Linked DNA regions of Caenorhabditis elegans. The protein of the gene in region 3 purifies or fractionates together with the protein of the main gene of each other region. This does not show direct contact. Each region holds a gene or a part of one and is shown on either strand. Other genes may lie near its edges.

The links. Proteins that work in one complex are often made in the same cells at the same time.
Region 1: the proteins of sir-2.2 (region 3) and mccc-1 purify together in Caenorhabditis elegans (affinity purification with western blotting, with the first as the bait; one study listed by BioGRID). This does not show direct contact.
Region 2: the proteins of sir-2.2 (region 3) and pcca-1 purify together in Caenorhabditis elegans (affinity purification with western blotting, with the first as the bait; one study listed by BioGRID). This does not show direct contact.

The regions. Positions count from the first base shown.
Region 1 is NC_003282.8:9,881,497-9,888,962, reverse strand, and holds mccc-1 (Methylcrotonoyl-CoA carboxylase subunit alpha, mitochondrial), read right to left. Parts: upstream 4,394-7,466; coding exon 4,202-4,393; intron 4,154-4,201; coding exon 3,841-4,153; intron 3,794-3,840; coding exon 3,506-3,793; intron 3,456-3,505; coding exon 3,285-3,455; intron 3,234-3,284; coding exon 2,986-3,233; intron 2,941-2,985; coding exon 2,613-2,940; intron 2,567-2,612; coding exon 2,382-2,566; intron 2,334-2,381; coding exon 2,190-2,333; intron 2,145-2,189; coding exon 1,998-2,144; 3' UTR 1,818-1,997; downstream 1-1,817. Other genes in the region: ttbk-3 (non-specific serine/threonine protein kinase), read left to right, coding at 1-56, 304-602, 1,025-1,175, 1,220-1,360, 1,408-1,773; prp-18 (Pre-mRNA-splicing factor 18), read left to right, coding at 4,682-4,849, 4,991-5,135, 5,180-5,304, 5,351-5,465, 5,512-5,625, 5,675-5,792, 6,440-6,626, 6,676-6,762; Nuclear hormone receptor family member nhr-4, read right to left, coding at 7,012-7,143.
Region 2 is NC_003284.9:7,655,695-7,664,294, forward strand, and holds pcca-1 (Propionyl-CoA carboxylase alpha chain, mitochondrial), read right to left. Parts: upstream 5,293-8,600; 5' UTR 5,285-5,292; coding exon 5,208-5,284; intron 5,156-5,207; coding exon 5,061-5,155; intron 5,011-5,060; coding exon 4,811-5,010; intron 4,070-4,810; coding exon 3,419-4,069; intron 3,372-3,418; coding exon 3,084-3,371; intron 3,029-3,083; coding exon 2,324-3,028; intron 2,270-2,323; coding exon 2,111-2,269; 3' UTR 1,818-2,110; downstream 1-1,817. Other genes in the region: F27D9.12 (RING-type domain-containing protein), read right to left, coding at 722-837, 1,144-1,270; dhs-29 (NADP-retinol dehydrogenase), read right to left, coding at 6,302-6,404, 6,447-6,619, 6,712-6,880, 7,364-7,542, 7,588-7,675, 7,726-7,832, 8,564-8,600. UniProt on the Caenorhabditis elegans protein: This is one of the 2 subunits of the biotin-dependent propionyl-CoA carboxylase (PCC), a mitochondrial enzyme involved in the catabolism of odd chain fatty acids, branched-chain amino acids isoleucine, threonine, methionine, and valine and other metabolites.
Region 3 is NC_003284.9:13,325,631-13,333,468, reverse strand, and holds sir-2.2 (NAD-dependent protein deacylase sir-2.2), read right to left. Parts: upstream 5,120-7,838; coding exon 5,107-5,119; intron 4,208-5,106; coding exon 4,079-4,207; intron 4,036-4,078; coding exon 3,927-4,035; intron 3,710-3,926; coding exon 3,569-3,709; intron 3,526-3,568; coding exon 3,445-3,525; intron 2,986-3,444; coding exon 2,871-2,985; intron 2,825-2,870; coding exon 2,642-2,824; intron 2,481-2,641; coding exon 2,367-2,480; downstream 1-2,366. Other genes in the region: NAD-dependent protein deacylase sir-2.3, read right to left, coding at 150-332, 384-498, 712-792, 837-977, 1,172-1,274, 1,327-1,453; F46G10.2 (ILCR1 Ig-like domain-containing protein), read right to left, coding at 6,021-6,107, 6,667-7,041, 7,089-7,276, 7,319-7,541. UniProt on the Caenorhabditis elegans protein: NAD-dependent protein deacylase. Catalyzes the NAD-dependent hydrolysis of acyl groups from lysine residues. Plays a role in oxidative stress resistance.

The DNA.
Region 1 (7,466 bases), on a different chromosome or scaffold from region 3:
GCCGCATTGTGCATGTTATTGATTTTGGATTAACAAGACAATGGGCATGGTCGAAAGTGAGTTTTCGATATTTTTTTGATAATTTTGACTTAAAATAGTTGTGATATTTACCGTATTTTCTCAGTTTATCTGGCATCTTCTTGCTAGACAGGTAGGCGCGTAGAGGAGGTAAGCAGGTAGGTACGTAGGTTGTTAGACACGTAAACAGACAATCGCACAAGTAGGCACAAGGGTTGTGCGGCTGGCTGATTTTTTCGGCTGTCGGCGCTAGCCTCTTCCTACAGATCCATGATTTATATCCAGGAAAAAGCCTTCTATGCTCGCCCACTTCGTACCAAGGTGCAATTCCGTGGATCTCTGAACTTTACATCTTCAAATGCTCATCTGGGATACAAACTTGGCCGAAAAGATGATCTATGGTCACTTCTGTTCACATTGGTTGATTTGAATGATCGTCTTCCATGGCATGGAGTGAAAGATCATATGATTCTCGCACGACAAAAAATGAATATGGGTGTGGCTCTGATGAAAATGCCAAAAACGATGGAGAGATTTTTCGAGCATCTGCTTGAGTGTAGAGCCTTGCAAAGACCAAACTATCAGTAGGTTTCCAGTTTCAACTTTTACTTTTCTAATATTAGCTAAACATTAGATTTTTCCTTTTTTGTGTCGAAAATACGGTACCCGGTCTCGACACGAAAAATTGAGTAATTGTGTGCGCAATTTTTCTTCGAATTTTCATATTTTTTCTCTATTTGTTGAAATTTATGTGTTCCCTTTTTTTAATGTGAAAATTTCGCAGCAATGAAAATTTTACTTTACAGTACTCTTCGTACCTATTCGCATTTAACAACAAAAGTCGTGTCGAGACCGGCTACCGTATTCATCTCGGGAGTAACACTGTTGACAGTGGACAGTTTGAATAATCGAATAATAAATTATATTTTTACATGGATACTTTTTTAAAAGTTTATACAGCTTGAAACTACTGAAAATTCTTCATTGATAAATATTTCATATTCAGTATGATGTTCAATATCCTCAAAGGAATTCAATCGTTATCAGAAGATACACCGACTTCAAAGTACACATTTGAAGAGGTGGAACTTTCTGAAGATGATCTTGAAGAACGATTCACAGGAGAATGGGAAGAAGTGACTGGAGAATTTTTCGCGGTTTGTAGATAAAGATCGTAAGGCTTTGAGATGTTTATTTCCAGATTGATGAAGTTAAAATCAATAATCCGGAAAAATGTTCAAAGCTGGCCAGTGAATGGAAAAATCCTGACGTTGATGTGTTCCAATCTGCAAGCAAAAATCAAAAAGGCAGTAAAATGATGTTGAGCTATGAATTTAGACTTGTAAGTGTTCAAAATACAAATCAACCATATTGTTGAAAATTGTTCAGACTGGAAAAAATGAAGAACAGACTGGAAAAAATGAAGAAAAAATGAACGAATATGCATATCGTTGGGAAAAAGCAAGAGAAAGATACAGACAAAGGATGTTACGATTGAAGCTTAATGATCGCAACAAGCAGCAATTTGAAGCTAAGAACTACATGGAACAACAAATAGAGAATGATAGAAGAGATCGTTTAGATGATATTGAGAATGTCGCTCTGAAGTATTTGACGACTGAAGGTGCCAACAGTGATGAAAAGGATGCGGAAGTGAATATGTCTGAGCTTCATAAGGACAGGAATGATGTATTGAGAGATGCCCAGAAATTGATCCGTAAAAGAGAAGGAACTTTCAATTCATCTCCAAAATAATTGGAATATACTTGAGCTTTTCCGAATGAACGATTGATTGAATATATTCACATAATTTTATTTCTAGGTAAAGGCACATAAAAAATATCTGAGCTGCACAACCGTACTCAAAATTAATTACACTTGAAACTGTCAAAGGGTGTTGTAAGAAAAATTGAAAAGCTCTGAAAATACCGGATATAGCTATAAAACCTAAGAGAAAAAACCAAAAATAAAGGTAATGCCTATGCGAATTGAACCAAAACTGCATTTTTTGGAACATTTTTGCCTGCCTGGCACTTAATGTGTTCAACAGTTGAGTCTTCCGGGGCACGAATGATGTATTCCATTTTCATTGCTGTCATCACTACGAGTGCTTGGCCTGTAGTTACCTAAACTTTGAGTTATTTAATTTTTCGGCATGTACTTGTACATACCTGCTCTCCAGGCTTCACAAGAATTTTTTCAATAATTCCTGGCATTGGTGCGACGGCAGAATGACTGGCTGCTCCTCCGGATAACGAATCAAATGTTTCATGGATTTGTGGAGTTTCATATTCGTTTTGACCAACTCCATTCACCTTAAAGTTAACTTTTCAAAACTATGATTTGTTGAGACACAAACTTACCATCAAACTATTTCCTAGATTTTTAACGACAGTACTCCAGCGCCTGCCATTAGCTTCCAATGTAAACTTGAAAGATCCGTCTGTGGTTGATTCAATGTCGTTGAGAAGTGTTTCATAACTGTTGCCATCATAAGACACTGTCAGGCGACTATCAGAATCAAATCTAATGCTGACATCTTTTCCGTCTGAATTTAAGCTATTTATTTTTCTTTATCAAACTAAACGCGTTACCTATTTTGAAAATGTATTTTGGTGACAAATTCATTCTAAAGAAAGATAAATTCTGGAAGACACCTGCATCTGATTTTTGAAGGGCAGCCAAAGCATGTGCTACAGCCGACTCAACGTAAATTTCAGCAGGAGTTTCAGATTCAGCAAATAGTTCCTTCTGGTGATCAGGGATAAAATCGGTATAAACATTTCCTGCGGCAAATTCAGGATGAGCAAGAACTCTGCGGACAAAGTCAATGTTTGTGGGTAGCCCTGAGATTCTTGTACGAGCCAAAGCACTTTCCAATTTTGCAGCAGCAACAGCACGATCCTGGCCCCACACTACCACCTAGAAAAGGAGATGATTGTTTAGAAGCTGTTCTGAAATACTTACCTTAGCAATCATAGGATCGTAATGGATTGATACTTCGTCTCCAGAAACAACTCCTGTATCGATTCTAGCATCTTCCGGGAAGTCAACATAATTAAGACGTCCCGCAGTTGGCATGAATGCTCCTTTACGAGTATCCTCGGCATACACACGACATTCAAATGCATGACCGTTTAATGGAATTTCTGATTGTTTCAGTGGAAGCTTCTCTCCTTGAGCTACCCGTAATTGCCATTCAACAAGATCCGTGCCTGAAATCAAATTATTTGATAATTTCCAATCTCCCATTATAAAATCTATACCTGTGATAGCTTCACTGACGGGATGTTCGACTTGAAGCCGAGTGTTCATTTCCATAAAGTAGAATTCGCCACGCGGGTCCATGATGAACTCGACGGTACCTGCTCCAACATATCCCACAGCCGCCGCAGCACGAACAGCTGATTCTCCGAGTTTTACACGAGTATCATGTTCTGCAAAAACATTAAATCTCATTTAAAACTTTTTCACGAGACTGACTTACCCATATTTGGCGCTGGTGCTTCTTCAATAATTTTCTGATGACGTCTTTGAACGGAGCAATCTCTTTCCCATAAATGAACATAGTTTCCATGGTGATCTCCGAAAACTTGTACTTCAACGTGTCTCGGCTTCTCGACAAACTTTTCCACGAGCATTTCATCGTTTCCAAACGACTTCTTAGCTTCGTTACGAGCTGAAGCCAGTTTTTCTTCGAATTCAGCCTCGTTCCACGCAATTCTCATTCCTTTTCCACCTCCACCATAGACAGCCTTCAGCATAACCGGGTAGCCTGAAATTTTAAATAAATTTATGTGGGGCTATACTTTAAAAAATTACCGATTTCTGCTGATTTCTTTTTCAAATTAGCATCTGATTGATCTTCTCCGTGGAATCCTTTTACTACAGGAACTTTAGCATCTTCCATGATTTGCTTCGATACATTCTTGGCTCCCATATCCCTGATAGCTTGGGCTGGTGGTCCAATAAAAACAAGGCCGGCCTGAGCACATTTTTCAGCGAATCCAGCATTTTCAGATAGGAAACCGTATCCTGGGTGAATAGCTTGTGCTCCAGATCGCAATGCACTGTTGATAATTTTGTCCATATTCAGATAACTTTCCGCTGCAAGAGGAGGGCCGATGTGGTATGCCTGACATTAAATTCAGTTTAACACTTCACGAATACTATGGATTCTTACCTTGTCAGCTTTTTTAACAAAGAGGGAATTACGGTCTGCGTCAGAAAAAACAGCAACTGTCTCAATTCCCATTTTACGAGCGGTATTTTGGACGCGAATGGCGATTTCTCCACGATTTGCAACTAAAACCCGTTGAATGGGACGAATTAGAGGGGCAGTTGAGGCACATCGTTTTTGGAATACACCAAGCATCTGAAAATAAAAACATATTGGGAAGATGTCTCAATTAAAAAGATATCAAGAAAAAGAGCAGAAAGCGGATGTGGAGCATGTTTCAGCAATAAAATAAACTTTTCTCAATCGAGCGTGTTTGCATTGCGCTGTCTGCGTCTCTCATTTTCTGTCTCTCTATTTTCTTCATTTTCGAATAAAAATCTTAAATTGACGATTTTCATCCGGTTTCCATTTTTTCCTTTATTCCGTTAGTTTCTTTTTTTACTTTATTTTAAATCAATGCTTCTATTATTATTTCTTCAGATAATGGATTTCAAAGCAAAACTACTTGCTGAAATGGCAAAAAAACGAAAAGCCGTGTCTGGAATGGAAGTAAAAGAAGGAAACGCAAAGTTTGTCAAAGGCGCTGATTTAGAAATGAAAAGAAATCAGGAATACGAAAGAAAACAGCAGGAAATAGCTAGTAAGAAACGAGTAAGTTTTCTTTTAAAAACTTCGTTGTAGGAATTTGTCTTATAAAATTTTCTGACACTAATAAAGAAGGATTAGGTATTGCTGAATAATATTTGCAATTAAATTATCATATAGTAAATCATTATAAAAGACATCATTTAGAAAGTTGACGACGAGATACTTCAAGAATCATCCAGTCGAACTAAACCCGCGCCCGTGGAAAACGAATCAGAGATTGATGAAAAAACACCAATGTCGGAAATTCAAACACGTCTTCGCCAGCGAAATCACCCAATTATGCTTTTCGGTTTGGCATTTTCCAAAATCGTATTTAAAAAAATTAATTTTCAGGTGAAACTGATATTGATGTGCGTAAACGCCTTCATCAGTTAGAACTTGCTCAACCTGATCTCAATGAAGGATGGGAAAATGAATTACAAACAGCAATGAAAGTTATCGGAAAAGAAATGGATAAGGTTAAAAATAACATTAATTCAAATTTCATGAAATGAAATATTGCAGGCAGTGGTTGAAGGTACAGCTGATAGTGCAACACGACATGATATTGCTCTTCCACAAGGATATGAAGAAGATAATTGGAAAAATATCGAACATAATTCAACTCTTTTGAGCGTCGGTATGAGATTTGAAATAATTTCTCGAAACTATATTACTTTTTATAGATGACGATTTGAAACGAGATTGTGATATTATTCTTTCAATTTGCCGTTATATACTCGCAAGATGGGCTAAGGATCTGAACGATAGGCCACTGGATGTAAAAAAGACAGCACAAGGTACAATAAATTAAAAAAAAAGTGTATTAAATGTTTATATTTTCAATAGGTATGCATGAAGCAGCCCATCACAAGCAAACAATGATGCATCTTAAAAGTTTAATGACTTCAATGGAAAGATACAACTGTAATAATGATATTCGGCATCATTTGGCCAAGATTTGTAGGTTAGTAGGTTATTTTTTGATTCAACATTATAATTTTCATCGAAATTCACTTAAAAAATAAACTAATTTTATTCAAAATGCGAAAATTATCTTGTAATTGGAAATTTCCGGGGTTTTCAAATGTAGCTGAGCAAAAAAAAAACTAATTTAAATATGGAGTTTTAAAATGGCTCCAAATTTGATTCCGTGCCAATTAAGCATTTTATTATCATGAAAATTCCAGAGTTGGATTTCTGTCCAATTGTGATGTGAAAATAAGCGGATCTGCGAATTTTGAGAAAATAAAATATTCAATTGACACGAAAAAACCATTTTTCAAAAAAAAAAAACTTACACGAAAAGAGAAAACTCGGTAAATTGGCATGAAATTTGATGGAAAGAACTCGTAAAAATTTAATAGGTACATAGGTATTCAAAATTAGAGACATTTAAAAAATTTTTTTCGAAATTCCGCGTTTGAATAATAAAAGTATAATCATATATTTAAAACATTTATTTTTTCACTAAAACCTTTCTCTGTTTATCGAATTTTTGAGATTTTCAGAAATTCAAATACTATACCAAAAAAAAATCAAAAATTAAACTGCAATGTGTATGAAAAAATTCTTAAATTTTCTTTATTTTCGGTTGTTTAATATATATTTCAGATTGCTAGTAATTGATAGAAATTATTTGGAAGCAAATAATGCCTATATGGAAATGGCCATCGGAAATGCACCTTGGCCAGTTGGAGTAACTCGTTCTGGTATTCATCAACGTCCTGGATCTGCAAAATCATATGTCAGTAATATTGCTCACGTACTGAATGATGAAACTCAGAGAAAGTACATTCAGGTTAGAATTTCCATATTCTTTTGAAAATCTCAACTTTTAAACATTATAGGCGTTCAAACGACTGATGACCAAAATGCAAGAATATTTTCCAACGGATCCATCGAAAAGTGTCGAATTTGTTAAAAAGGCTGTTTGAATTCTCATTATTTATCTTGTTCAATTGTTGTTTAATTATTTATAAGTTAAAAAAAAGGAATTTATTTTCTTTTGCAATACACAACGATTATATACATATTTATCTATGGTACAGGATATCACAGCGTCAAAATGTTCAATAAGATATATACGGATGTTTCAAGAAATAATCCATTCAAATAATGAAACAGTCAAGTTCTGATATGAAACGAGATCAAAGAGGTAGAATCCAAAAACCGAAATTAACACATTAACCCATTGGAGCTGGAGGAGAATGTTGAGGTGGAGTCGTCTTATGAGTTGCTTGGATTAGTTCGTCAAATTCAATTATATTGAAAAGTGACGTCACATGAACTCCTTCATTCATTAAATGTGTCAAACTCTGAAAATTCAAAATATTATGAGTCATGCGACAAAAAAGGTCTCGACACGTTTTTTTTGTAAAATACAAATGGGTGTGCGTCTTTAAAGAGTACTGTAATTTGAAATTTTCGTTGATGTGGATTATTTCCGATTTTTCATAGTTTTCGGTTAAGAAGATTTTTATTTTGGCATTTTTTAACATTAAAAAAATTGTGTAAGAACTATTAAAAACTGAAGAAAATTCTGCAGCGACGGAAGTTTGAAATTACAGTACTCTTTAAAGGCGTACACCTATTTCTATTAAACAAAATATTGTCGCGTCGAGACCCGGTGCCGTAATTT
Region 2 (8,600 bases), 5.7 Mb from region 3:
CGTGAAAGAAAAGGGGAGACCTCCTTGCTCATTGACCACTGCTCAGAAATGTTGACGCCAGTTTGGCTTCGTTCCGCTGAACAGAATGAAAACGAAAGGCGATGGAAGGGTTGTGCAATAATCAATGTTTATTAAATTGCGTCGGCGAATTTCAACGCAGGCCCCCTTTGACCACAACATTTTCTTTTCAGCTGCCAGGAAAATGGATCAGCTGATGGAGAATAATGAATGATGAAAAGTTTCTTAGGGCTTACAAATTCCATAATGATAAAATGTTGAAATGTAAATAGTTAAAAAAAAACAAACATAAACAAATTATTACGTAATTTTTGATGTTAAAGTCTGAAATATATAGCTGAAAGTTTACAAAGGTGGTACCTTCGTTCATGGTACCGCCTCCTACAACAACAAAAATCCTTTTGGGCTCCGACAATAGTTTTATGTTTCTGACTAGTACGAAACAACTTGAATGGAACAGACGTTCACGAGAACTTCAATTTTGGGAGTTCTGATTTAGTAATGCAAGGATAATATGTGAAAGAAGAACTCCCTACGATTTTGAATACGATATTTAGCTCAAAATAGTTTCAACAAAGTCCACCGTTTAGCTTTTCTCTTCAAGTATAGAATTCCACGTGACAGAAAAATCTGTATTATTGTATTAAAACAGTGATACACAGAAGATGCACATATAAGAACACATTTTCATTTTCAATTACAGTCAATTCATTCTATTAGCTTCAATATTCACCCTGCTCCTCAAATCTTTGAAGATGCGCTCAATCTCGTATATTGTCACGTTGCAAATCAAACAATTGGTTCGTCGAGCAATTAATACTGAAAACAAAACAAGCATTCATCATATAAAACAATTTGGGTTAGAGTGTAGAACATACTGAGTCATGACAAAACCCTTTTCATTTGTTGATCCTATTTTCATCTTTAAAAAAATAACAAGACTAAATACTATAATACAACAAACTTCTCTTTTTAATTTGAAATCAATTTAACACATATTGGAAAGGGACGGGTCTCACCCACTTTTTCGAAAAAGTTAGATTTAAACTGTTTAAAACTTCAACTAGCACTTCGTTTTATTGATAATCAAGCTTCAACTCAAAAAAAAATCAAATCTATACTTACAATAAAAACATGCAACACAATTGTGTTCGCATGATGGTGGGCTCCTCCGTTCATGCATAAATTCAAGGCAGGCTGTGCAACAGTTCTCTTCCCCGTCTTCGTATCTACTTATACCGATACTAGACATCTTACAGATCTGAAAGTGCTACAAGTAAGTTTTATTAAAATATTGACATTATTTATTTTCTCAACTAGAAGTTAACAGAATTTAACAATATCAGTGTGACACTACTCACACGAAACCAAAAAACGTGAGTTAAAATGAGATTGAAAAGAACAGAAAACGGCAAAAAAAACTGGAAGAAAAATTCTTCTTTTTCTTCTTCCCATCATTTTCTGTTTCATCTTCTCGTCTCAACTCGTCTTTTTGTCAATTTTCTTTCAGAATAATCAATTGGCACTGCTATTCAATATTTTGAAATTGAGATACATGAAAGAAGAACATAAAAAAGAGAAATCTGAAATTTTTAAAACAGATTTGCAAACTGACAAGTTTTTTCACAACGCTTATTTCCGAGCTTCAATTATGGACTATGGTAAAATGTTTAGTTTACACAAGCTATTTCACAAAAAATAGAAAATTTAATCAACAAAACATCTGCACTTATGTTATGTAGAAACAGAATAGATATATAATTTTCTAATTGAAAAGTTCAAAAAATGAGCAAATGCTTTTTTTTCTTCATATAACAACCTTTTTGCAATGCCTTCTACAATATTTATTCACTACATAATACTTGGGGCAACAAAACAGGGTGGTGGCTGAGAAATACGTCCGTGATGATTGGAATACAACAGGTGAGGGTAATGGCATCAAAAATAAAATATAAATATGGCTTGAAATTTGAGAAACTGCGAATGAAATTATCAATCTCCATACCAGATAGTGGCGGCTTTGAATTGTACAAAATTAGGAAAAAAACGGTAATTAAAACAACAAAAAAAATTCAGGTTCAGTGAGAATAATCTACTCGAGCTCAACGAGCACCTCTCCCTCGTCGACTGTGGCTCCAACCTTCACATTGACGGCCTTGACGCGTCCGGTCTTTCCAGCATGAAGACTGTTCTGCATCTTCATAGCCTCCATGACAACTAACTCTTGTCCCTCGGAAACCATATCTCCTGGCTGTAAATTGAATCAGTTTTAGCACATCTAATGGTAGTGATAAAATAATGTTACCTTAACGTTGACGTTCTTGATTGCTCCTGGCATTGGTGAGAGCACAACTGTGGACAAGTCAACCTTGGCCTTCTCCTTCATGTACTGCAAGTACTTGACGGCCTGCTCTGGAAGCACCTTGACCTTGAATGGAGTTCCCTTGTAAAGAACGGTGATCTCTCCGGCGCGCTTGCCAACAATTTGGGTGGTGATGTGCTCTCCATCGACTTCAATTGAGTTGACTGGATGAGACAAGTTGAGATCTCCACTGATAGTCACAGTCTTTCCACCAATACGAACTTGGGCCTTGTTGGCGCTTCCTTCGACAAATTCGACTTCAACAGCGTGCTCGGTTGGCCTCTCACCCTCCTTCACTGGCAGAGAAGACACGAACTTGTAGGTCTTCGAGAAGGAAGCCACATGAGTGCTACGTTGTTTGTTCTGGTTCAAGAATTGATTGGCACGAGCAAGTTTACGAGCGTTGAGAGCCGAGGCAAAGGCAATGACAACGTCTTGCTCTTTTGGTGAGAGGCTGGTTCCCTGGAAGCCTTCTGGGTACACTTCTGGAAGATATTTGGTGGTAATGTCTCCAGTACGGAATCTCTTCTCTTGGACAATATCACGAAGAAGTGGAATGTTGTGAGTGACTCCACGAATGACGTAGTTGTCGAGAGCCTCTTGCATGCGGTTCAGAGCCTGTTCACGGTTGTCTCCGTGCGTAACGAGCTGAAATTACAAAGTAAGTCACTTGAAATTATCTAAATGCTAATTTATCCTTTACCTTGCAGATAAGTGGATCGTAGTAGATAGAGATTTCCGATCCCTCACGGATTCCAGAGTCGCAACGAACTCCGTCGACGTGTTTTGGCTCAACATATCTGGAGAGACGTCCGACTGATGGAAGACCGAATCCCTTGTATGGATCCTCGGCGTAGACACGAGACTCGAAAGCCCATCCGTTGAGTGGCACTTGCTCTTGGGTGATTGGAAGTGGGTGACCGTAGGAAACGCGAAGCATCTGTTGGACAATATCGATTCCAGTGATGCACTCGGTAATTGGATGCTCGACCTGTGAGTATTTAAAAATTAAACATTTAGGCCATACTGAGATATTACCTGAAGACGAGTGTTCATCTCCAAGAAGTAGAAGTTTCTCTGAGAATCAACGAGGAATTCGACGGTTCCAGCAGAGTCATAACCGACAGCCTTGGCGAGCTGAACGGCCTGTTCTCCCATTTTGCGTCTCATCTCTGGTGGCACAAAGCTGCTTGGAGCCTCTTCGATAACCTTCTGGTTTCTTCTCTGAATGGAGCATTCACGCTCGTTGAGCCACAAAGCGTTTCCATGCTTGTCGCAGAGCACCTGCATCTCAATGTGCCGTGGGTTGTCAATGAACTTCTCAACGAGCATTCGATCATCTCCGAAAGAAGAAGCTGCTTCTTGCTTGGACAAACGGTATCCTTCACGAGCTTGCTTGTCGTTCCAGGCAACTCGCATTCCTTTTCCACCACCACCGGCAGAAGCCTTGATCATGACTGGGTATCCAATGTCGCGGGAGACTTTCACGCACATATCCTCATCAGCAATTTCTCCGTCATATCCTGGAATCATGCTGACACGGGCTGCGGTAGCGATTTTCTTTGAATGAATCTTGTCTCCCATATCAAGAATAGCCTTAGAGTTTGGTCCGATGAACTTGGCTCCAGCCTTCTCAAGCTCGGCGGCAAACTTGGTGTTCTCGGAAAGGAATCCATATCCTGGATGAACCTGCAAATATATGTTTTCAACGTTTTTAGCAGTTCTGTTTGAAAAACATAACAGAAGACACTTGCAATCTATCTCTCGTCATTTGACTTTGACTATTTGAAAATGAAACACGCGAGATGCTAGAGACTGGAAAGAGACCACTTGGTCACTTGTCACAGAATTTTTGTTTTGTTGTGTTTCGTAGTGAAAGTAGGTGAATATCACGTGCATATTACAAGTAACTGGTTTCTAATATATTACGGTAAATCTTAAGCTGCTACACAGCCAAAAGCTCTCGCTCGGGTTGTCAAACTGTTTGACCCTAGCTTGTCCTCTGAAAAATGCGGTAATTCGTGCTTTTCATAATTTGACCTCACCACAGTTTTCAACAGGCCATAAGAGGGAACTCTAGAGCTTCATCACTTCAAACCCTCATATCTCAGCCAGGTGATATGAGCATGAAAAAATTGAGCATTATCAAAATGTAGGGAATGTTTTATTTCACATTTTTTCAGTCAGCAACTTTTTTAAGCTATTCTCTCCGTTTGAAGTTAAGCGCGAACGCTCTGACTTCTTGAACAGTAGTAGTTGATTTGGAGCGGTGTTCTGAACTTTTGCAAAAACTCTATTCTCTGTCGGATGTCTGGGTAATATGTTTGTGCTACTGTGCATGTAGATTCATGCCACAGAATTTACATTCTCCTCTGATATTTGATTTTTGCGGTTTATCCTTCCATTACATAGACACGTTAGAATTCTTACCGCTTGAGCACCGGTGTCCTCGACAGCTTGCAAGATGCGGTCAGCACGTAGGTAGGATTTGGCAGTTGGAGCTTCTCCAACACATACAGCCTCATCGGCCATCTTTACGTGAAGCGAGTTGCTGTCGACATCTGAGTGAACGGCCACTGTCTTGATTCCCATAGCTCTGGCAGTTTTGATCACGCGACACGCAATCTCTCCTGTAAAATAGACGATTAAATCTAAGATTCTTTTAGATGCTTGAGATTACCTCTATTGGCAATCAAAATCTTGTCGAACTTTGGCTCATTGTAATCGATTCCTACAGTAGTGTAAATCTCCTTTCCCTCACGTTCATCAAGTGGTCTGAAATTGAACCTATTGATCTCAAAACCGAATACAACTTTCAGAAACTTACACTCCTGGTCTGGCAACAGCAGCAGTTGCCAATCCACGATTGGCCACAGCGCGGATACTGGATGCAGCACGGAGCATGGTTCAACCTAAAAACAATGATTTTCATGATAAAATGAACAACGACATCAGCAGTTCACAAAAGAAAAAAGTAAGATGATGGAGAAAAACAGTTTCGTGTATAACTTCGATGGAGAAAGATAAGGACGACCGATTTGATTTGGTCAGTTAAGTGATAAACAGCGATGCCTTGAAAACTCTCTTTATATTGATTATGAAGGAAAACTTCGACTAGTAGAAAAAATAAGAAAAACATGCAGAAATGGCAACTGAGCAACGAAGTAAATAGCCTGGCCAGAAAAGAGAAAAGCAAGAAGTGCGGTGCCCTTGTCCCGCAACAAGATTTTCACAAAAGTTGTCTATCTCTCTTTTCTGATGGACCCAAAGCGCAGTTGCCCCGCTCTCTCTCTTTGCCCATTTCTTGCGATTTTGCACGTATTCGTCCTCTGAACACACACACGCAGAGAAACCGAGAAAATCACCGGGATAGGTTGAGAGTTGGAAAGACGACCTCACAATGTTACAATGAAGAACTTCGAATATAATTCATAGTCCAGTCTGCACGTTTTCTATAATTTTTGAACCGAGAGTCCTACAAAAACTAATAATTTTACAAAAAACGTGTATGCGTGAAACGGAAAATCTAAAGACTCACACAGTAAGTACACTCAATACACAAAAAAAAACGGCAAAATCACCAAAAACAGGGAAGAAAAAAGCCGACCTTCTCTGGCAACAGCGAAGGCAAGAATGACCTGCTCATTGACCACTACATGATCAATAAAACAACAAAAAACAGTCCAATAATGCGCGGGGTTGTCCAAGATATCTCACACAGCAACCTCAACGGAGCGCGTTTGCAGTGATCTTCTCTGCGTCTTTGCACACACTGGCCTTTCTCTCGACATGTTGTTTATTTGAGAATGTTTCGTTGAGTTTCTTCATTTTATTTGATAATAAATGGTCGTTCATTGCATTGGCAAAAAAAAACAAAATTAATACATTTTAGGAACTATCAGACACATTTTCAACTACTAGTCAATTATTCTTCCTCTGCTTGGCTTCGTATCGACTGAGAATAGAGAGTGACGGGAAACCAAGAATAAACGTTTGGACAACCCATTTTGCGGTAGAAGCAAAACTGAAAATACAATTTGTTATAAAATCAACTGAAAAAGTTCACCTGATATTGGCTTTATGGCAGAGATAAAGAGCGTAAAGAGCTTCACCGGCGTGTGCTACAAGGGCGAAAAGGTTGGTTAAAAGAGCAACAAATGGATACTCAGTTCCAATCTTATGGACGAGAGATCCAATTAATGGAATATTAAGTGCTGCTGCTGGATGGGCGTAAGAAATCTAAAAATCAAAGATATAGATCGAAGTGGAAGCTTTGAAATATCTATTTTTATCAAACATAGTTTTTTTTCACTTGAAACCTTAAAACTTACGTAGTTGATAGCCAGAGCTGGAACAATGAGGAGCCACCAGAAGAGTTGTGGAGTTTTGTAATAGTCCGACATTTCAATAAGTGTCAGTTTGCAAAATGATGGATCTGAAGCGGAATACTTAACACCCAAATAATTACGAAGCGACCGGCACACTTGAAGAGAGCAGAAACTGAAATAAAAAATTAGATTTTATCATGTTATCATTAGTTGGCTATATTCTACATAGTGTACGAGAATCAAAAAGTAAGTGGAGATGAATAGTTGGTTTCTTTTTTTTTTGATTCTCTCAAACGATAGAAGAAGGGGTGTCTTCGTGTAATAGAGGAGATACTATCTGAATCAATAAGGACACCAATGGTGACCTCAATAATAGAGCGTGTAAAGACAAACTAGACGCAGACAGAAAAACAATTCGGGCAGCTCTTTTTGCGAATACGAAAAGTTGTACAGTTCTCAAAAAAATAATAATAAGACGCGAAAACAGGGCATTGATTTTTAATTTTTCGCCATTTTAATAAGTAGCACATGAATATTGACACTTAAAAAGTACTTTAATTATTTTTAAATATGCCGATTTCATCTACAATTCAAAACAAATGTTCTTAATAAAAATTCACCATGGAAACCAAAATAACGAAACCGAGAAACTTACTTTTTCACAAAAGGGATGAGTGTGATGTACGAGGGAACAAAAGCGTGCACTTTTTCTTTCAAAATAGAATCTACCATTCTTTTCGAGCAAGACCGAATGCTCATGAACGGGAACCATGTACATGTAGGTCTCATATTATTTTCCAAAATCATTGGGGTTCTTGCAAAATATGGGTAGAGCTGAAAACGAGAATATCTCTAGCCAATAATTTAGCAACAACCAACCGTAGTTGTTTTGATACCCTCTAATCCGCGATCTCTGAGCTCCATTTGTAAGGATTCCATAGCTCCGCGAACCGCAAATTTGCTAGTGCTGAAGTAACTGTTAAAGTTTAAAACAAAAACTTTGGAACATTAAATTACCAGTAAGAAAGTCCCATCGTTTCACCAGACCACCCAGCAATTGAGCAAACGCAAACAATGTGTCCGTCGTTCTTGGTTTCCATTTTTGGGAGGAAAGCTCGAATTGTCTGATACGATAAAAATTAAAAATAGAAAACACGTGGTACTAATTCAGTGTCCGTACCAAATTTTATAAAAAACCAAACTTCGACTCCAAACATGTTCTGATACGTAAATGTTTTTCAACGAGTACAAAGAATAATATCTTGATTTGTTTATTGAAGTATGTTTTGAAACACAAATAAAGTTCAATTAAACTCATTTGGTCTGTCGAAAATATATATTTTTTTTGTTTTTCAATTTTTTAAGTTCTCAAAAAAAATTTTTTGACTAGTTTTAAGTTTTAGGAAAGTTTTAGGAAGTTCAAATAATAAACATAGAACAAACGGATTAAAGTTATTAAATGTTTGCTTTAATTGACTGAAAATACCCCGAAAAAACTGACACTAAATTTGCTACGTCTAAAAAACTTTCGGACATATCAGAGTCATGTTGAAGCGTTTAAAATGACTAATATTATAAAAGCACAAGAACGTGTTTATTGAAAAAAAAAAAACTGAATCTGAGCTCATTCGATACTTCTTTGTTATTTTGATTTACCATAAAAAATTTAGGTTTTTTAGCATCCTTGTTATGAAACTTTGCGTTTCATGCCAGAAAAACAATTTTGCTTTAATACTGCTCCTTAAAACAATATCGATTTCATTTTTTGTTATTTTCTCACCATATTTTTAAAATGCTAACTATAAGTATTGATACTTTGTTTATATTTTAAAATTTTCATCTTAAGCAAACTTACATTAATTGTACCAAAAATGTTAACGTCAAGACACTTT
Region 3 (7,838 bases):
ATTTTCTCAGAATTTCTAGTACACGAAGCGAAATTTTGCCAAAAATGTCGAATGTGGTATGATTAAGTAAGTCGGTTTTTTTGACTGTTGTATTTGACAGCAATTAAAAAACATAGTCGCTCTGATTTTTAAAAAAATTGTTTTCTCACATGATTGACAATCTGATATCCGGAAAGCACTTCCAACGATGTCCCAAGTGTTAAAACTCCATTGCATTCATTCACCTTCTTGCCACAAACTTTAATTTTGTCAGTGTTTAGGTTCTCCCCAAACAACGTTACATCTGTCTTCATAAGTCCCCCACAATTTAAACACTCGGGAATCTTGAACCCCTGTAAAACTTTTTTATGCAATTGTTTCTAATTGTTGAAAAAAAAACTTACTTGTTCGCTACCCAACGGCAAGGCAGTGTCAGCATCTAGCTCTTGCTGTCCAGGAGATACAAACTGCTCTTTGAAGCCAGGATTTGCATAATTCAGGCGGTCTTGATACGTTTGTCTGAAATTATAAAAGATGATTTACGCGAGCAATGTCAAAAATAGATATATGTAACTGCTTGTTATTAATAATTTTGAAACAACTAACATTCATTCTATTTTTATCTCAATTCCATTCAAGTACAAACCTGTTTTGGTTCAAAATTGTTCCAAGTATAAAGTTCTAAATTTCAAATTTCAAAACAGTTAGTACCAATTTTTCTTCATTCCTTACCTTGTCTCGATGTATTCACATGATGTGCATTTTACTTGAAGAGCGTTGCCATGAAGTTCCGTTATCATTTTCGAGCCCGCTCTTAACTTTTATTTTAATATTTTCATTTTGTTAACTTCACTTACTTTAAGTGAAGTCCATCCACATTTTGTGTGATCAACCAATGAAATTTGTTAGCAGCTTCCCATTTTGATAAGGCGTAATGATTGAAGTTAGGTAAAGCTTGAGCAAATCTTGGCCAATTCAAGTAGCTACGAGACCAGTATCTGAAGACAAAAGATAATTAAGCATGCCAAAAAGAAAATGTGTTACTGAATCATAAAACCTATAAAATTGTAATGATATTAATACGTGAGAGCAGTTATGAGCCTTTTTTCAAAGTCTTTGGCACAAAGTTTTTATAAATTGAAATATCACAATTGCAAGAGTAAGGCCCAACAAATTTCAAAAGTACTCTCACCTCTGCCTACATTTCTTTGATTTCATAAAATCCTGGAAATAAATTGGTTCAAGTGCAGTCTTTGTGTACAATCCGACATCTTTCGATCGATAATCTGGTATTCCTGAAAATGAAAACTATATTGTACCTGATTGTACCTGTACCTGAAAAAAAACCTGATTCTGTAGAAATTCCTGCTCCAGTGATGATGAGAAGCTTATCCACAGTCCCTACCAGTGACTTAAACTTTTTTAGGGAGTTTTCACAAAGCTCTGTCGTATGTGGTACATACTTTCGTGCCATTCCTAAAATACTGTCGAAGATGAATTGATTGTCAAAACAAGTGAAAATAATGAAGAACAATAAGAACAGTTTTTTTTTTAATTTTATTCATAAACGTTATTGAAAAATTATTCACAAGAGTTTCGAGTCCGGATCTTACAGCTAATTGTGTTGAATCACGTTCATTCAAAAAACCCTTAAAAATATATCTTTGGATGAATCGCGCTCTATTTGCACAGGCGAGAGAGTAGAGTAGAGAAATCCAGTAACCTCTTCCTGTATTGCCAAGGAAAACGCCGGCAGAGAGTGCGGGTCCGCCGAAAATGAAAGAATAATGGGAGACCAACCAACAGCTGGAAGATTATCTAGGTACAGAACAAAGTCCACAATTTTTTTGATAGCAAGGTTTTAAAAATAATTGTTTAATGAGGAAATAAAATATTTGACAAAATTGATAATAAAAATCTAACCTTACGAAGGTGTTGAAATAGTTTAAATCATGTCATCAAAGCAATATGGTGCGATGTTTAAAATGATCATCCCATTGGGAATCTTGATTTAAAAAAAAAAACTACTACTAAAGAAGAATCATAAACTTTAAAAAAGAACTAAGCAAGTTATCCTTGATGAACAAAAAGTGATTATATTCTCATAATATAGAAAAGCTGTTTGGTAAAATATTTGAGTCTATCTCCTAATTCCAGGATTTTGTTTTGCCAATTTTGTTACTTTTTTTGCAGGAGTAGATGATTTTTTTTCTGAAAATAACGCATTTTCACAATCATATTCATCAAAAATTGTTTATTCCAATTAACATGAAACAAATTGCCATTCTATTCAAACAATAAAAAAAAGTTTCAAAATACAAACGGAAAGTACCCAAAAAACTGTCGTCAACACAATATTATCAAATTCCAAAACTACACGTCTTAGTCTACATTTCTTTTAAAACGTCAGAGATTTTATAATCTAACTTCATCGTCGCCATGTGATCAGCTCTTGTAGGTCCTATATTGACTATGAAAATTGGTTTCTTCTTCATGTTAGCCTGAAAGTTTACATTTTTATTTTTGAAGGACTCTTAACAATCTAAAAAAGTTGTTTGAAATTTTTTTAAATAGTTAATTTTTGTGCTACCCACGGAAACATCAAAACGTTTTTGTTTTTAGATAACCAAAAAAGTCATCCAGTAAATCCCATTAGCCTTACATGATGGATAAACCGAAATCCAGATAACACCGCCAACGACGTGCCAAGTGATAAAATCCCATCACATTCATTCACTTTCTCGTAACAAAAATTGACTTTGTCCATGTTAACGTTCTCTCCAAAAAACGTGACATCTGTCTTCATAAGTCCCCCACAACTTGGGCACTCGGGAATTTGGAAACCCTGAAAACACTGTATTTTTCGACTTATTCCACCGTAAAACACTTACTTTCTCAGTTCCCAACGGTAGAATAATGTCACCATCTGGCGCCAGCTCTCCTGGAGCCACGTGTTCTTCTTTAAACCCAGGATTTGCGTAATCAAGTCGGTCTTGGTACGTTTGTCTGAAGTTGAAACGTTTTAATTTTATGAGATCCCTTATAAAATAAACGGTTATTTTTACGTTCACAAACCGAAATGTGAAGTGGCCTATTAGATACATTAAGAGGCGTCCATACTCTCTTAGATTGTCTGCCATTCCACACATTCAGGAAGTGGAGTGAAATCGAAAAGTCAATGAAGTTACAATGATCAAACATTATCAATTAGGAAGAATGTACGTTAATTAAAATATGTTATAAGGAAGTTCACCGATACATTTTAGAGGAAGTTTCAACATTTTAGTTAAAATGTTATCTTTTCGTTTTTTTTAAATCCAAATATGTATAACAATCCTTTTTTCTACGCTACATGTGATTGTTCAATTTTAGTAAATCATCATTTGTTTTAGCTTTTATCAAACAATTCCTCATTGAGAAATTGTTTTTTTTTTTCCATAATTGAGTTGATTCAGTCCAATGTACCTTGATTCAATGTAATCACATGTTGTACATTTTACTTGAAGAGCACTGCCATGAAGTTCCGTTACCATTTTTGAGCCCGCTCTGAATTAAAAAAAAATTTTAACTCATTTTTGACCGTCTTTACTTTAAGTGAAGCCCATCCACGTTTTGTGTGATTAACCATTGGAATCTATCGGAAGCTTCCCATTTCGATAGTGCGTAGTGATTGATGTTAGGAGCAGCTTGACCAAATCTCGGCCAGGCTAAAAAATTGCGAGACCAGTATCTGAAAATATGAAATTATTGTTTTGAAATTTTATATTTTTTGAAGGCTCAGCTAGCATAAATTATACCATGAATAAGATATATTTAAAAAAAAAAGCCCGGACTATTTTGATGATGTACTTGTAAAACATTTCTGTTGAGTAGAAAAATCGTAACGGGAAAACATTTTTTTCTTAACCAGCTTTACTTTTTTCACTTTTTTCCAAGCATAACCTCACCTTTGTCTACAACGGTTGGACCTCATGTAATCTTGAAAATAAATTGGCTTGTGTGCAATTCTTGCGTACAGCCCCACATCTTTCGAGCGGTAATCTGGGATACCTGGAACTAAAATTTTAGACGATTGAGTATCGGAACTATGAAAGATTACCAGATTCTGTAGATATTCCTGCTCCAGAGATGACAAGCAGCTTGTCCACTGTTCCAATCAAAGATATGAACTTTTTCAAGGAATTTTCACAGAGCTCGGCGGCCTCCGGTACAAACTTTTGAGCCATGCCTAAAAATATTCAAATTATTAAAAATTAGGCAGCATGATACAGAATTCAAAAAAATCTAAATCGTAATTTATAAAATGTTTCACTATAGTTCCGCTTCCGAGCTTTAAGCTATCAGTGAAAAGTGTAAAATCAAATGACCGACAGAGTGATTGATGCGTCATTTTAAAGCATTCGCGCTCTATTTGCACTGACGAGAGAGTAGAGAGTGGCTAGAGAAAGTCACAGATATTTCCTAGTTTCTCCGAGAAGGCGGCTGGCAGAAAGTGCAACACGTGAATGGGAGAAGAATAAGAGAGTAACGTTTTGAAAAATCTTTATAGGTAACACTGAATAACGCAATTTCATTGAACATTGCAGTTTTAGAATTTGCTTAGTTTTATCCTCAAATCTTCAAAAATATTTATTGCTTAATTGAAAATTATATAGATACGTTATATTAATAAATAAATAAAAAGAAAACATCTATATTTTGTATTAAAAAGTTTTATGTATGATGCATTTTCGAATTTTTAAAATTAATATTATCCGAGCATCCTATACCTAGCCTGTAATACTATACCGACGGCTTAAATTTGATTTTTTAGTTAACATTTTGGAAAACCTACAGAACGTTTTTATCAATCTCAAAGAGAAAGAATAAGGTGATTTTTCACAGACATGCGGCATGATTTTATTTGGTTCTAACTGACAAAAAAATGGTCAAAAAAATTAGACCCCTTTGACAGAATACAAAAAGATAAGAGAAATATGTTCATACATATGTTTTGATTTTTATTTCGTGTACAATATTTCAATTGAGGATTGTTATAGTTGTTTTAATGTAAACATTAATTTGAAAAAGTAAAACTCAAACACACTAACTATTAATCAGTTGGAATATTAGAAAATTTTGACTTACCATACTTCATCATTTATCGATTGTGTGATTTTCTTGAAGTTCAAAATGTTATGTGATCGAATGGGTTCACGTTTTTTGACACTAATTTGTCGCAACAAAAAAAGAATTAACAAAAAAAAAAGAGATAAGAGTCATGTCATGTCGGCTGACTTTTCGCGAAAAAAGTCATGGTATTGATAGAATAGATAAGGTTTGTAAAAATGAATGACCCGTATATTCAGTTCAATTTATGTAAAGTTGTAGTTAATTACATTATCACAACAAAAATAATTTAAAAGAAAAGCACCGTTTTCAACATGTCTGCTGCAAATCAATTTTTATAAAATAATTTTTTTTTTCAAAATTTGAGACGCCATAAAACAGTGTTGAGATGTATTGCAATTTATAATTGTTTCTTTTGAAGACTCAAAAATATTGAGGATCAGACCAGATACAACAAAGTTATAATGTATTGAAAAGCTTGTTCATAGATACCTTTTTTCATAAATAAAAAATATCTGAAACAGTGAAAGTTCAAAAGCACAAAGTAGGTGCAAATGACGTCATGTTCATTTATTATATTCAAAAACTCTGTACAATGCATGTATACATGATTTAATACGATGATAAACGATTCACATAATATGGTACCCGTGGTTACCGACAACAAATAAACAAAATTTGTACACAACCCCCACAAAACCAGAAAAATCAACAATAAAAGTAGAAGATCGAAAATCCATTAAAAAGCAAATATCCATATTAAACGCAAAAATGTACAGAGATCAAAGCAATCGTGTAGGGCTAGTTGAATCCTTATGCAAAAAAACCGTCCATAACCGTTTTGAGTAGAGATCATTGGTGACGGAGAGATGACGATGATAGTAGTTGAGAAGTATTATGGCTTTTGTACAGGCTCACATGTTCAAAATGTGCTACACAACTTCTACGGGCTGTCGAAGTAGAGGATGGGCTTCGATGTTTAGATCTCTCAAATGAGTTGGCATACCACTTGTCAGAGTCTGAAATTGTAAATGTTTATGAAACGTGATGTGCATATAACCAAAGTCTGTTTGAATGAGTGACAAACCTAGATTTTAGCAACTTCAATTGAAATTCTGCATTCTTTAAGTACTAGTTATATTCATTTGCTTTCAAATTATTTTTTTTTTGAAATCCTCTAATTGTAAGTTATATCAAAAGTATGAAAAGTATGTAAAGTTTTGGAGTAAAATTTTTTTATTCCTACAAAATTCTGTATTATTTCTTCTAGACTTACAAAACACCGAACGACTAGTATTGGACTCTACATATCTTCTTAGGCTTTCTTCAGCGGCCATGTGCAATAAGAATGTCTTTTCTGGGTTTGAACACGAGAAATTGCGGTAAAGTTATCACTTTTTGATGGGATGTTACACTTTGTTTTTACAACGAAGCGCCTGATAAAAACTAAATTTTAATCTACATTTTTTGCTAAATTTTTGGATATGAAATGAAAAAGGCACACTCGGATCGTGATTCTATTTATTAGAAAATGAAGTTTCCTGTTAATTAACCATTTACATTTTTTCTCTTACTGACCTCATTATCTCCTCCTGAATGTGAGCTATTACTTGACAATGATGAGACACCCGAGTCTGTACTATGCGTCTTTGAGTTATTTCTACTGTCAATGCTGTCACAGCTCTCATGATGAATGGGCACATTTTCTGGAATTGCCACGTCCTCGATAGGAATATCTATGACAAGTGGATCAGCGATAGTGATATCAAATGCATCTTCTAGAAGTTTCTGATCACGAGGCAATACGTATTCAACTTCTTTCGGCACACTTCGCTGTGCTTCTGGAGTGAGAGCAATGTGAGCCAATCGCGGATCGGTACACGGGAAGAAGTTGTTAATGACGTCATAGATACCACACCGTGGATGGTAGTATGCAGAATGAAAAACGATGATCTGAAAATGAGAAAAACGTGGTGTGCATTACGCCGAATTTTTTGTACCTTTTCAGCAATTTTTGTTTGTTCGTAAACCCAATGCAACATATTTTCTTCTGCGTTTTTCGAGTCTTCAAACCATCTGTCGCAAACGACTTTGTTATTAGATTTTTTCAGTGCATCGGCAATACGCATCATGAAGTCTTCATCACGACCGGACACCTCGGGACATACTAGCATCACTTTGAACGCTTCTGAAAACATAATTTTAAAATTATCCCACTAGAATCTCTTACTCTTTGGTTTCGTTTTTCTGTTTGGATACTGTGACGATTTGAGCGCACTAAACGCAATTTTCTGTTTGAAGATTGTTTTGCGATATTTGTTGCAGCATAGCCATCCGAACGCCAATAAAAGAAGCAACGAAACTACTCCGGTAAAAATAAAGAAAATCTGGAGAGGGGAGAGTATAAGCGTTTCATGATGAACTGCAGTAGGCGAAGTGGGTGCCGGTGGAGTCTGAAAAAAATTTGATCATTGTCAGAGTGACTCTGAAGTAAGGAACTTTTAATTGATTTTTCAATTGATTCACGAGGTAGACGTTTTTGGAAGTAAACTTTTTTGAAACTAATAGCGAGTAAACTTTTTATAATTTTCTAGTTCTACGAATATTTGCAAAACATTTTATAGTCTTATTTTAAAGTTTTTATAGTTTTTATTGATATAATTTTTTAAATAGTTTTTAAAAAATAGTTTTGTAGTTTTTTAGCGAAATGGCGTTCACTTTCACCCCACAAAGTTTCTCAAAACTCTACC